Notamacropus eugenii: one gene and its partner. The protein of the gene in region 1 binds, or shares a complex with, the protein of each later gene. Links are inferred from orthologs where the notes say so. Each region holds a gene or a part of one and is shown on either strand. Other genes may lie near its edges.

The links. The genes of interacting proteins can lie anywhere in the genome.
Region 2: BNIP1 (region 1) and VTI1B share a complex: the UniProt entries of both Homo sapiens proteins name them as parts of the SNARE complex. The link is inferred for Notamacropus eugenii from reciprocal best matches to the Homo sapiens genes BNIP1 and VTI1B.

The regions. Positions count from the first base shown.
Region 1 is NC_092872.1:405,059,225-405,066,377, forward strand, and holds the start of BNIP1 (vesicle transport protein SEC20), read left to right. Parts: upstream 1-4,141; 5' UTR 4,142-4,175; coding exon 4,176-4,259; intron 4,260-7,153. UniProt on the Homo sapiens protein: As part of a SNARE complex may be involved in endoplasmic reticulum membranes fusion and be required for the maintenance of endoplasmic reticulum organization. Also plays a role in apoptosis.
Region 2 is NC_092872.1:312,455,910-312,463,904, forward strand, and holds the start of VTI1B (vesicle transport through interaction with t-SNAREs homolog 1B), read left to right. Parts: upstream 1-4,986; 5' UTR 4,987-5,453; coding exon 5,454-5,565; intron 5,566-7,995. UniProt on the Homo sapiens protein: V-SNARE that mediates vesicle transport pathways through interactions with t-SNAREs on the target membrane. These interactions are proposed to mediate aspects of the specificity of vesicle trafficking and to promote fusion of the lipid bilayers.

The sequences.
Region 1 (7,153 bases):
AAAAAAACAAGTATTTTATCATTCAGCACAGACCACTACCCTCTAGGTCCAGGATGGGTTGCTTTGGATCAGCTTGGTTGTACCAAGCTCCATTCTCCAGATTCTCCATCTACAGACCAGGAGCTATAAATGAAATAGCAATGCTTTTAATTAGGACAAAATAGCAAAGTAAATAAGGAAAAGTTGCCCCCCCCCCCCCACACACACACAAAGGGAACAACATCTCACAAACTGCTATGCCCCTGGTGGGAAAGAAAATATATTCCAGGGAAAGTTCATTATCCTGGGACCAAATACTGCCTTTGCAGCTATCAAATACTGTTTTCCCGAAGGGTTGCTACTGTCATCTTTGGCTGAGCATCTTCTTCCCCACAGAGTTACTGCCAAAGGCGAGAGCTTTTACTGGTTTCTTGGACTTCTCTCTTAAAGTGGGTGTTTATTGCTCTTTTGTAACACTGACCCTGTCTATGGCTATATCAACTCTTTTTGTTAGCTGGGACCATATTTGTACTCAGTCAGCACAGAAAAGAGTCAAAATGTTTCTTTCTTAACCTCCTCCCTCCTTCTCAGTGGAAATTTCCCCAGACCTACTAGATATTTAGGTTGGGGAGAAGCAACTACATTTCTTTCAACTCTCATATGTGCTTAGTAACTATACCAGGGCTTCACAAACTACCTTGAAACTTCCACACTGGGACTAGCAACCTTTGCCCTTTAATCCTGTAGCTATACCTGGGATACTGTTCTCCTTGTAAGTACTTTGAAGGGAATTACAACTTTATATCTAAAACGCTATTTTTAAAACCTTAAAACATTTTCTTCACAAAGATCCTGTGAGGTATGTCTTGCAAGTATTACTCCCATTTCACAGATGAGGAAACTATGGCTCAGCTGCCTGCTGTATCGGATTTAGAGACAGTGGTTCTGGCTTCAAACATAGGTTCTGCTATTGTGACTTTGGGGAAGACATCCCCTTTCCCCCCGCAGTTTACTCATCAATAAAATGAAAGTTAAATTTGATTATTTCTAAAGTCCTTTCCAAATCTAATGGGGCAGCTAGGTGGTGCAGTGGATAGAGCACCATTGCAGGAGTCAGGAGGATATGAGTTCAAATCTCACCTCAGACACTTGACACTCACTAGCTGTGTGACCTTGGGCAAGTCACTTAACCCTAATTGCCTCATCCTGGGTCATCTCCAGTCATCCTGGTGAATATCTGGTCACTGGATTCAGATGGCTCTGGAGGAGAAGTGAGCCTGGTGACCTGCACAGCCCTCCCTCACTAAAAACAAAGTCAAGTGCAAGTCATGTCATTATTTCTCTGATGGCATGGTCTTCTTCAGCAATGAAGGATGAACACACACACACACACACACACACACAATGTTGTATACTCCAGTTCTAATCCTATGACCTTCCCAAGATCTCACTAGTAACAAATATTAGAGTTCACAGGATTCCAGACTCCAAGACAGTGGATCAAATAAACAGAGGGAAAAGGATATTAGAGGTAATTGAGTTTGACCCCTGATTTGACCAAGGTCACAGTCCCCAAACTAGGATTTAAACCTAGGTCCTCCTGACTTCAAAGTCAACACCCTTTCCTATGAACTAAGCCTTGCCCTCTATGATATGTGTATACAACTATTACTGTGCCTGTTCTCAAACTTTTCACGTTGACCTATTATAAAAACATTCCTTATACCCCACTTGTCTCTCACATCAACTATCCTAAGAAGCCAAGAACATATGGTTTAAATCCTGCCTTTAACATTTATTTACTATGTGCTCTTTGGGAATTTCTGAAACTCACTTTTCTCATCTGTAAAATGTAGATTTTAGTAATTGGTAATAATTAGCTCACAAGATTGTGAGGATCACATGAATTATATCAGACATTTTCCAAACCTTAAAATATTATTAGCATCATCTCCCTTACTTCATGACCATATAACTGAAGAGTGTAGGTTTTCATAATTATAAGCCTAGACTTCCCTCATTTAAAAAAACAAACAGCCTTTTGACTTGACCCTGCCATCCTTTCAAACTACTGTCCAGCAGTTATTCATCTTAGAAAAAGGTTATTTACACTCTTTGCCTCAATTTCTTAATCCCTTAATCCTTTGCTCCTAACCCCACCATTTGATTCAAAATGCTACTTTCAAGGTAACCTAGGACTCAACTGCTAATTCCAATGTCCTTTTCTCAGGCCTCATTCTTTGACCACTTCTGTTTTTGACTCTATCAGACCTATTCTTGCATTCTCTTCACTAGACTTTATGACACTGCTCTCTTGGTTCTCTTCCTGTCTGACCAGTCTGAAGTGTGTTCGTCCTTCATTGCTGAAGAAGACCATGCCATCAGAGAAATAATGACATGACTTGCACTTGACTTTGTTTTGAGTGAGGGAGGGCTGTGCAGGTCACCAAGCTCACTTCTCCTCCAGAGCCATCTGAATCCAGTGACCAGATGACTTGCCCAAGGTCACACAGCTAGTGAGTGTCAAGTGTTGGAAGTGAGATCTGAACTCAGGTCCTCCTGACTCCTGCACTGGTGCTCTATCCACTGCACCACCTAGCTGCCCTCAACCAGCCTGAAGACTCCTTTGCTGGATCATCACTGTCTTCCCTCCTACTAATCATGGGCATCCCCATCTAGAGGCTCTGTCCTGGCCTTCTTCTCTTGATAAATTGGTGATGTCATCAACACCCATGGGTTCATCATCTCTATAGCGATTACTCTCAAATCTTATGTCTAGCCCTAATCCCTCATCTGAAATCCAGTCTGTATTACCAACTGCCTATTGGACATCTATCCCTGGATGTCCTATAGATATTACAAGTTCAAAGTATTCAAAATGGAATCATTATTATATTTTTCCCAGAACCCATTCCTCCTCAAAACTTCATTTCTGTTGAAAGTACCATCATTCTTCCAGTTACTCAGGTTCACAGTCTTCAAGTCAACCTTGGCTCTTCCCTCTCCCTCATTCTCTCCATCCAATTAATTCTTGATATTATTGCTACAATATCTCCACCAATTTCCTGCTCTCTGTTCACATAGTCTCTTACCCTAGGTTAGAGGAGGTAGCTAGGTGGTCCAATGGATAGAGTGCTGGTTCTGGAGTTAAGAAGACTTGAGTTCAAATTCAGTCTCAGATACTTACTAGCTGTGGGACCCTGGGTAAATCACTTAACCTGTCTGCCTCAGTTTCCTCAAGAGTAAAATGGGGATAATAGGAATATCTACCTCTCAGGGTTGTTGTGAGGATCAACTCTGTAAAATGTTTGGCACACAGTAGATGATATTTAAATGCTTATTCCCCTCTCCCCACCTAGTTTAGACCTTCAGAGGTTCTTCCTTGGACTACTGCAATAACCCCCAATCGCTCTCCTTGCCTGCAGTCTCTCCCCCTCTTTGATCCACCCCTTTTCTCATAGCTGACAAAATGATATTTCCTAACATCGATAGGACCGAGTCATTTCTCTACTCAGGAATCTCCCACTGCTCCCTATTTTGTCTCCGTCTTGGATAAAGCGTGAATTCCTCAGCCTGGCATTTAAAGCCCTCCTTCGTCGGTCTCACACCCACCTGCCCTTCCAGGGTTACTTCATGTTGCTCCGTGCACTCTCTATTCCGGGCAAACTGGCCTGCCGGCTGGGCTTCCCACTCTTCCCCCCCTCCCTTTGCCCAGGGGGTCCCCAATATCTGCACTCCTTTCTCATCTGCCCCTCTCGGAAGCACAGCCCCACACAGGTCACCTCCTGCACGAAGCCTTTCCTGCTCCCTCCCGGAGTTCACCTTCTCCAACTTTCTAAATTGCTTTAGGTTACTTTGTATCCCCTTACAACCCACCGAAGAACGTTAGCTCGGGGGGGAGGCGGGGATTGCTTCACTTTTGCCTTTGTATCCTGCAGCACCTGGAGCAGAGCCAGGTACACAGTAGGCGCTTAATAAATACTTGTTAAACACGGGGTTCTGGACTCGAGAGGCCAGCTCCGCTGCGTACTACGCGCATGGCCTTCAGCCTCTTCGTCCGAAGGCGGAGTATCCAAGGTCCCTCCGAGTCCTCCGTGACCCGCCTGCAGGTGGCGCTGCAACAGCGCCGGGAGAACGCGTTAATAAGAAACGCACTTTGGTTTGGCCTCTACGAAGGCCCGTAGTCGGTCCCCAAGATGGCGACTACCCTGGATGTCCACGTCCGGATGTGTAACCAAGAGATTGTCATATTCGACTTGGAGGTGAAAGCGTTTATCCAGGTAGCGGGTCCCTGCTCGAGCAACCCTTTCCTCTCACGATGGCTCACATCCGAGCCCGAAGAAGCCCGGAGCCTCGGGATCTGTGCCTCCCCCTCCCGCTTCGGGGAAAGGTGGACGGAACCCTCGCCCCCCTCCCCCACCCTTGGTTCGCGGCTACTCGCTCTCTAGACCCCCTCCCCGCTTCTGTTGGCTCCACCCCCTGCTTTCCTCCTCCCTGTTTCTGTGGTTTCCTCGTGCAGCCCCCGCCTCCATTTCCATTGGTCTCTCGTGCCCCCTCCCCTTTCATTGGTTCATTTCCTCCTCTCCCGTTTCCATTGGTTTCAGCCACTCCTTCGTTTCCATTGGTCCGCTGCAGCCCCCGCCTCCCTTTCCATTGGTCCTCGCCCTCCGTTCCCCTCACCTATGTTTATGTTGGTCCCTGATGCCCCGCCCCCCATTTCCCCACTGGTCTAACTACGAGTCGGTACTTTTCTAACTTCAGTGCGGTCTGGGGTCAGGTGGCCCCGGGGAGGCAGGGTGGAGGTGGGGCTGTGTTTGTGGGGAGGGGGGTCCTGAGAGAGCATCTCGTTCAGCCTGTTTATGTTACCGTTGAGCTCCGAGAGGTTCAAGTACCCTGCCCGTGGTGACTCCCCCAGCGTGGCTAGGGTCTGTCTCAGCCTGGGGGCGCCTGGTGCGTTCGTCTCCACCACAAACGTTTATTGAGCCCTCTCCGGGTGCTGTGCGTTGTGCCTGCTGCAAAGATAAAAATCACTTACGGAATCAGCAAGCATTTACGTCCGTACTGTGTGCCTGGTGAGCTGGGCTAATCCATGGGGATGCAGAGAAAAGCCAAAACGCAAAATCCCTGCCCTCATGGGGCGTACGTACTCATTGGGGAGACCATAAGTAAATAAGTAGGAGCCTACAAGATGTAGAGAAGAAGGAAAGTAACCTTACTGGGAAAGACTCAGATGGCTGGGAGAACCTCCGTGTAGAAGGTGGTTTTTCAGGCGTCTGGAAAGAAGAGAGGGATGTCAAATGTACAGGGAAGGAGGAGGAGCATTCCAGACATGGGGAACAGTCAGTGCAAAGGCTTGGAGACAGAAAATGAGTATATTTTGGGGAAACTAGCAAGTAGGCCAGTGTAGTTGGATTATAGAATGCATGAAAGGGAGAAGACTGGAAAGGTCAGAAGGGGCCAAGTTGCGAAGAATCCTAAAAATGACAAAGAACCTTATATTTGGTTCAAGAGGTAGTAAGGAGCCACTGAACATTCTTGAGGAGTATGGGCCTGCCTGCACTTGAGGATCTCTTTGGCAGCTGTGTGGGGGATAAATTGGATTCATAAGAGACTTGAGGCATTGCAATCAGTTGGGAGACCTTTGCAGTTTAAGTGAGAAGTGATGAAAGCCTGCACTAGGATGGTGACTTACGTTGTTGTTTCTCCTTTGTTCTTGAAGAGGACCATGACATCAGGAAGGAGATGTCATGATTTGCAAGTAAATAGGATTTAGGTGAGGGAGGACTGTGTAGTTGCCAGCCTCACTCTCTCCTCTGGAGCTCTCTGGGTTCAGTGGCAAGATAGAGATTAGGACAACTGGAGATGGCCCTGAATGTTGACATGCAGAAGAGATGTGAAAGTAGAAGCAAGATTTGGCAACTGATTGGATCTATGGGGTAAGGGAAAGGGAAGAGTCCAGGAAGACGCTGAAGTAGTCAGTCTGGGAGATTGGTGGTTCACTCAGCAGTAATAGAAAAACAAAATGAAATAATCACTTTCTTCCAAGTCACCAAGAATTTATTAAGTGCCAACTATATGCCAGACACCTTGGGGATACAAGGAAAGGGGAAAAAAAACAATTCTTGCTCTCACAAGTTTGCAGTCTGATGGGGGAAATAACATGTAAATGACTGTATAGACAAGATATGTACAGGATAAACTGGAGATAATCTCAGAGGGAAGGCTCTAAGATTTAGTAAGACTGATAAAGGATTCTTTCTGAAGGTAGGAGTTTAGCTGAGATTTGATGGAAGCCAAGAGACAGAAATGAGGATGGAATGAGTTAATAGGCCTGGGGGACAGCCAGTGAAAATGCTTGGAGTTAGAAGATAAGTGTCCTGTTCAGAGAACAGCAAAGAGGCCAATGTCATTTGATGGTAGAGTATATGAAAGGAAGTAGGATGTAAGAAGAAGACTTTAAAGGTAGAAAGGGGCCAAGCTATTTGACACTTGTTCCTGGGTAGCACCAGAGTTTATTGAAGGGGGAGAGATATGGGCAAAAGTGCATTTTAGGAAGACCAGTTGGACAGCTGAATGGAAGCCGAACTGGAGTGGGAAGAGACTTGAAGCCAGGAGTGTGTCATGAAAAACCATCTAGGCAGGAGGTGATAAGGACCTGCACCAGGGTGGTGGCAGTGTCAGAGGAGGGATGATGCAAAGATAGAATTGACAGGACTTGAGAACAGATTAGATATGGTGGATGAGAGTGAATGAGGAGGCTAGGTTTCAAGCTTGAGTGCCTGGGGTGATGGGGTGACAATAAGGAAACTTGCTGGGTAGGTTTGGAGAAAAGATGAGTTCAGCTTTGAATATGTTAAGCTTAAGGTGTCTGTGGAGCCACCAGTTTATCCAGTCAACTGTGAGAGATGTCATCCTGAAGGTTAGAAGAGAGGTTAGGGCTGGATAAATAGACCTGAGACTCCTCAGCATAGAAATGATAATTGAATCCATGGGAGCTGATGAGATCACCAAGTGAAATACGGTAAGAGAAGAGGACCCAGGAGAGAGCTTGGGGGGAAGTTAGTGAGTTAACTAGATGAAGATCCAGCAGAGAAGACTGAGAAAGGGAGGTCTGACAGGTAGGAGAAGAACTTGGAAAGAATAGTTGTCACAAAATCTAGAGAGAAGGTAGCAT
Region 2 (7,995 bases), about 93 Mb from region 1:
CTAATGAAACAAACTGTTCTCATCTGCCTGTACCACCTGGGGAAGTCCTCACCAAAGACAAAAGGGTTCATTTGCCAAGTCAGGCCCCCATGGATCTTTTTTATAAAACATTTTTTAAAAATGTTTTATTTTCCCCAGTTGCATATTAAAACAATTTTTTAATATTTGTATTTTTTAAAAAAGCTTTGAGTTTCAAATTCTATCCTTTCATCTCTTCCTCCTACCCCACCCCCAGATAATAAGCAATCAGATATAGGTTACACATTAGCAATCATGTAGTCAATATGTACAGGAAGACTTGAATAAAAGAGAAGGAAAGAAGGAAAGTGAAAAATAGCAATATTTTAGTCTGTATTCAAAGAATATCTGTTCTTTTTCTGGAGGCAGATAGTATACTTTGTCATTAGTCCTTTGGGATTATCTTGGATCATTGTATTGCTGAGAATAAATAAGTCATTCACAGTTCTTCATTTTACAATATTGTTGTTACTCTGTGCAACATTTTCCTGGTTCTGTTCACTTCACTTTGCATCAGTTCATATATGTCTTTTCAGGTTTTTCTGGAACCATTCTGCTTGTCATTTCTTATAATACAATTATATTCCATCACAATCACATGCCATAGCTTGTTTATCCATTCCCCAATTGATTGGCATCTCTTTGATTTCCAATTCTTAGCCACCACAAAAAGAGTGGCTATAAGTATTTTTGTACAAGTAGGTCTTTTTCCTTTCAAAAAAAAAATCTTTATAATATAGACCTAGCAGTGGTGTTGCTGGATCAAAGGGTATGCACAGTTTTATAGCCTTCTGGACACAGTATGGATTCTTTTTAAAGATTCTTCCTTCAGTTTTTTGATGGCCATATCCATACCAGATACCAGGGTTTGAGTAAAGACAGAAAGAACAAGTGTTATGTGAAAACTGAATTTCTCTGAAGTTCCCGGTTAATTATGAGTTTCTAATTTGATATTCTTCTTATAATTCTGTTGTTAATAGGACTAGATCCATAAGGTCTGAATGAGTTTCACCAAAGGAACTAATTACTTAAAGGTCAATCTGATTAGATTTTGTCACATTTTACAAAATTATATTAAGTCTTATCACTAGCAGGCATTACCCAGAGAATCTCTACAAGTGCCTAGAACCTGAAGATGGTTGAGGAAATACCTCCACAAACCTGGCTTGATCCATGCATAGCCCTTTGAGATGTACAAGAGGTATTTATCAGACTTCTGAAGATCATGGTCGGTGCCAAATGACTTCACACTCTTTAAGCTACAGCTATATTGGGTTTTGTATTCATCCTATTGTAATTTTGCTTGTTTTATTAGCCATATGTGTGTAATGGACCTTTTACCTGTCTGCTTGGATTGATATGATTTGGGAACCAAGGACTTTGAACTGCAAGTTGTAACGTCATGGTTTGCCCAGTGTTTAATGCAGAGACCCATTTCATGGTCTCTAGCTCCCTTTCTTGTCAACAGTTTAACTCCTCAAAGAAGAAAACTGTGACAAAATGGGGGAAGGTGATGGGCTGTACCAATAGAAAATCTGCAGGCTGAACTGCCAAAGCCTATGGGCTACAGGTATGTTGTGGTATACAGAGACCAAGTGAGTCATTCAGTAGGGATTTTATCATATTCTGCTGACCAGTTATACTGCCACCAAGATTAATAAATGGAAGACCTGAATACATCAGTCTGCCATGACTGACCTCTGAGCAGCAAAGGAAGAAATTCCTGATTGACTTCATGGACTCAGTTAACCTGGAAAAGGATCCCAACACCAATGACTGTTTTTTGAAGGCTTATTTGTTTCACCCAATAATTAGGACCTAATCCTTCACCTGTTATCTACTAGAGACAGAGGTGGTACTCCACATAGTAAATCCAATTCCCTTGCAAGTCATGACATCACCTTCCTGATGTTATTATTGGTCAACAAAGGACAAACAACACCACCTATCCTTAAGCACTGTATGGGTGTTGCCTCAGACAAACAGACCTAAGACCTTAGCTTAAAAAAGCCAAGGTCTCCCACTACATCTCTGGCCATCTCCATATGTGCGGATCTATATCTTGCCAATGGACCCGAATGGTTCTGGAGGAGAGAGTGAAGCTGTTGACTTTGCACAGCCTTCCCTCACTTAATTCCAATTCTCTTGCAAGTCATGGCATCACCTTCCTGATGTCACTAATCCTCAAGAATGAACTATGTATTTGCTGTTTTCATTTTATGCCCAGTTTTATGCCCTTGGGGTTGGGAGAACAGGAGAGTCTAATATTTATGTGTCTGATCTAACATGCCAGCTATGCCTTTAACTGAACCAACTGCTGAATAGGTGCACATGTCCCTTTGTTCTTGGGAGAAGGGATGCCCCTAGTGGGTGAGGGGGTCAAACATCCAGGACTTATGTGATTCTGTTTGCAATCAGTAAGGCAAACTTAAACAAAAACCAAATTGTATTACTATAGATTGGAAAATGACTCCTGATCAGTCACTTTTAATTGGGAAAAAATTCAAAATTTTTGACCCTCCTCAACACCTTTCGCAGTCCTACTTGTAATTTGGGATTTGGCTTGGGAATCAGCACTGTGTACAAAGGGAGGTCCTGTAAGCACAAAACAATACACAATCCCTTTGAGACATACAGGAGAGAACCCAAAGTATCTGCAAAAGATTTCTTACAGAAGATGGAATTTAAGTCAAGACTTGAAGGAAGCCAGGAAGCAGAAGTTAGAAGGGAACTTCATGTAAAGGAATGGAGTTGGAATAGGGAATGGCATTTTGTGTCCATCCTTCACTGCTGAGGAACATCATACCATCAGAAAAATAATGACATGACTTGCACTTGACTTTGTTTTGAGTGTGGGAGGGCTGTGCAGGTCACCAGCCTCACTTCTCCTCCAGAGTCATCTGAATCCAGTGACCAGATATTCATCAGGATGACTGGAGATGGCCCAAGATGCAATGGGAGACCTTTAGGCCAAGGTCTTTGCAGGTACTTACTTAGGGTGAGGCAACTCCCATTCATTGAATAGGTCTGTTTAAGAAGTAGCCAGGGCATGGCTCCTTTAATGAGGTTAAGAAAAAGAAAGCCATCAGGCAGGATGGGAAACAGCAACAGTTACTATTGATAATCACTCTCAAGCTAGGAAGGTCCAGAGAAGCCTTCAGGCAGGGCCCCAATCAAGGAACAGCCAGTAGGCCAGTGTATGGATGGATGGTGGTGAGGAGTAACTGTGTAAGAAGGCTAGAAGGGTAGGAAAGGGTCAGGCTGTGAAAGGCTTTAAATGACAATAAAGAGATTTATATTTGATCTTGGAGATAAAAGGGAGCCACAGTAGTTTAGTGAATACTGAACTAGGTGGTACAATGGATAGTGCACTGGGCCTGGAGTCAGGAAAGCATCTTCCTGAGCTCAAATCTGGCCTCAGAAAATTCCTAGCTGCGTGACTTTGGGCAAGTTCCTTCACCCTATTTACCTCAGTTTTCTCATCTATAAAATAAGCTGGAGAAAGAAATGGTGAACCATCTTTGCTAAGAAAACTCCAAAGAGTCAGACACAACGGAAAAACAAGTGAAAACCTTCTCTCAATTAAGACGTAAAAGAACAGTTTATACTACAACATCAATATGATCAAAATGAACAATTTTGAAGGCTCTTATAAACTACTAAAAAATTAAATGAGCAGAAGCACAATAATTCTAGACAAAAACACTGTAAAAACAACTTTGAAAGCTGTAAGAACTGTGATTAATACAATGACACTTCATAACTGCAGAAGAGGGACAATGAAATATACTATTAGAGAGATGATGAGGAGACAATTTGATATAGTCAATAGAGAAATTTATAATTGTTTATAACTGACAATGTATAATTGTTACAAAAACTTTCCTTTTTTAATCTTTTTTTAAAATGGGAGAGAAAATAGATTACTGTGAAAAAAAAATTTTTATTGATGTTTTCTTTTCCTTACATATCTCTCCCTCATATCCTTTTTCCCTCCCCTTCCCAGAGAGCCATCTTTTGTGTAACAAATAGGTGCAGTTTGTTATTTTTTTTTTTTTGGAAGAAAGATCAGTACCACTGATTGACATGCTGAAAAAATCAGAAAGCATGTGCAACGTGTAACACCCCTGGACCTCCCACAGGAGTGTCTTCTCATGTTTCTTCATTCCAGTATACCTGATCCGCCTAATTCTGTTAATTTCTGATTTTTTTGGTGTGTTGCATGCACTTTTTTTTTGTGGATTTTAAATTTATTTTGTTAAATATTTCTCAATTACATTTTAATTTATTTTTTATTTTTTACCTCTTTTTTGTGGATTTTAAATTTATTGTTAAATATTTCTCAATTACATTTTAATCTATTTTTTATTTTTTCCCCTCAATTATATGTCAAACAAAAATTTTTAACATTCTTTTAAAAAATTTGGAGTTCCACCTCCTTCCCCCCCCTCGAAGGCAAGCAATTTGATATTGATCATACAGGTGCAGTCAGGCAAAACATTTTCATATTAGACATGTTGCAAAAGAAAATGCAGACCAAGAAAGCCCAAGAGAAACCAAGTAAAAAAAAATATGGCGCCTGCACTTTCAGACGAGGTCCCTGTATTGAGTTGTACCTGTTTTAAGAGACCTCGTAACGACGCGGGAATAATCTATAATTTTAAACAAAATATCAATAAAGTTTAAAAAATAAAAACTTGCTAGGATTAGGAAAATCACCTTGGCTGCTATGTGTAAATCCTCTCCGGGACTCAGTTGCCCGACCTGTAAAAGAGGAAGCATCAAGCCTTCAGAGTTAATAAACCAGTCTTAGCTGGAGAAAAAAAAAAAGAGAGAAGCAGATAGTCTCAGTGGACTGGCACGTGACTATGCGTGATGACGCACAATCCGATCGCGTCTTGGGGAAGCATGTCGCCTTATCACCGGGACTGTCACGAGTCGCTTACGTCGAACTACAACTCCCTCAATGCACCGCGAAACCACAGCTTTCCTACGGCCCTGTTTTTTTTTTTCTCTCTTCCATTATCGCCTAGTGCAACGGGTGACTCTTAACTCTCGCTCACCCACTTGTGACAGCTTAGTCGTCTCCAGTCTGGCGCCCAAATCACAGCACGGCTCATGGACGAGAGAAGAGAGATAGGGTGGCTTCGGCTTCTCCCTGCCTTACGCGGAAATGTTTTAGGTTTCTCATCAGGCATATCTTGGATTGCCCCCGGTGGGTGGCAAGGTGGGACCTCGTGGAGCGATTTCCGGCTCTAAAGGACCCCGCTGCTTCAGTCTCCCGGAAGCGCCTAGCCTTCCGCTGTGGCGACGGTCGAACTAGCTGGGGGCCATGGAGTCGCTAATACGGCGGTTGAGCCCGACGCTGGGCTAGAAGCGGGCCCCTCGGCCCGGGACCTCGGCCCTGCCGGTGTCGGGGAAGCTCGCCCTACGCCATGGCGGCTGCTGTGTCCTCAGAGCCTTTCGAGAAGTTGCACGAGATCTTCCGCGGGCTGTACGATGAGCTGCGCGGGGTCCCCGACAGGCTCCTGGGAACCGGGGGGACCGGTGAGTCCTCTGGGCCAGGGGGGCTGGTGTCCGGGGATCCCGAGGTGCCAGGGACCCCCGCCCCCGTTCTCTTAAATTTCTCCATTCCTCCTGGGGCTTCCATCGCAAAGTTGCGAGGAAAGCTCTTGGGGGGCACCGAGGCTCCCCAACTCCAGGCTAACCCGTCGTCGTTTCCTAAGTGCCTCTGGGAGCGCTTTTGTGTGCCAGGCACGCTGGGATTACAGTGGATAAAAAGGGAAGATAATGTCTGCCGTCAAGGTCCTTAACCACTCAGCTGCTAGAACCATCTTATTAAAGCACAAGTCCGACCAAGTCATCCCCCCCCCCCAAAAAAAAAAAAAAACCAAGACAAACAACCAAAAGTCCAGACGCCGCCGTCTCCAGACTCCAGGCATTTCCTCTGGCTTGTCCCCCATGCCTGGAGTGCCCTCCCTCTTCGTAGACATCTCCCGATTTCCTTCAAATTTCATCTAAAACCCCACCTTCTACAACAGGAGGCTCTCCCCTGTACCTCTGAATTCTGTCCCCTTCTGCTGGTTGTGTTCAGTTTACCCACGTCTGGGGGAGCAGGAGCTGACATTTCCCGGGCTTAACCCCGTGTTTGGCGCATAGTAGGCCACCTACCTACCCCCCGACCCTTTTCTTGAAGATGTCTTGTTGTTGTGTTTGTCCTTCGTTCTCGAAGAGGAACATGACATCAAGATGCCGAGGTGACTCCAATGAGGGGACAGTCATTACCACTGGGGAACCAGCCAGAGGCTCACCATTTCACCAAAGGACAGCTGTTGGGGAGCTTTTTTTCCTCCATTAAGTCAAACCTATATTTTCCTCTTGGCCATTCCTCTTCATTCTGCCCTGTGGGAACGAGCAAAACTACCTCCTCTCATTTCAGCATCCCAGTTCCTTTTCCACTCTTCTCCCAGCTAAACATTCCTACGTTGTTCCACCAGTTCAAATATGTCAGGTCACGTCTTTGAGCTTTTATTGTGCTTGGTATGTACCAAGTACTGTGCTGAGCCCTAGGCACACAAAGAAAGTCAAAAAAATAATCCAGGTGTTCAAGAAACTTACAGTCTAGTGGGGGTGACATTCTGACAGCAAAGGAGATATACAGGTTAAATTGGAAATACTTGCAGAGGGAAGGCAGCAGTGTCATTAAAGGGCATGGGACCCTTCATTCTCCTGGTTGCCCTCCTCCTGAAGCTGTTTGCTTTACTGAAGTCCTTTCTAAAATCTGGTGCCTGGAAAGTAATGAAATATTCCGTGTGGTCTGACAACAGGGCACTGCCACCTCCCTCCTCTGTGCCTTCCAACATAGCTTCCTTTGTGTTGCTTACTTAGTGGGGCCGCTGACTAGTGCTGGGGATGATGTGCTTCTCCCCTAGTTTTGCTTTTTACTTAGGGCACCTGTCTAGTCTTATTTCAGTACTAGTGTATCAAAAGTTCAACTGCTTTGTAGTTCTGGGAACTTCACTTCAGATACAGCTCCTCTTAGACTCTTCTAAGTATCCTGCATTGTTGAACTGATTCAGTTATGTCAAGTCAGCCGTCTTCTATGTGCTCTCCTCACCATCTCAGCTGTTCCTTACTGGAAGCAGCATTAGAGAAAGTTGGTTTAATTCAACTGAAGAAACTTGACCAGATAGAATAATACTTCTTAAGCTCTTTGCACACCTCAAAGCCCTATGTAAATGTTAGATGCCATTAGTAGTAATCTTTAGGCACTGTGCTGAAGCCAAAACATGGGGAATTTGTGTCAAACGGTATTAGAGTTAGGGATAAGTTAATAAGGGAAGTTGAGGAATGTCTTGTTTTTCTGGATATTTAAAAATAGAATAGATTTTCAACTCTGATGGTTTAGGTATGGCCTTCTAATTTTTATCCTTATGGGTTCAAGGTGTTTCTGTTTTTAAGGAGGAAATAGTATTCCTTTTCACTTAAGAGATCATAAATAAGCCACAATATTAATGAAAAACAGCATGCATTTTTGATTTACCTTTCGTCTAAAGTCTAGTAATACTTGAGAATTCATTTTAGAGATAAGAAGTATGTTCTCTGTGCTTAGAGGTGCATGTGGCAACATGCAGTGCTTGAGATTTCTAGCCTGGTGCTATGTGATGCATAAGTACAGCTTTCTTTGAAAACCAGAAAACTCAGTACATTGCATCTGTTTCATTCTCAACCTGACCTTCTCTGCCTAGTCCTTTATCATGGCCAAAGAAGGAAGGAGACAGGTTTGGAGAACTGTCTTTCAGATAAATGTAGTGTCCACTCAAATTGCACTGTGTCCAGTCAGTTACTTCTTTATCTTTTAGGCCTTTCCTTAGCCTCTGAGATCATTTCTTAGCTGTTTAAAATATTTTTTCTATATGTGTGAAATATTAGGTACCGTGCCACAAACATACACCTCATAATCCTTACCTTTACCCT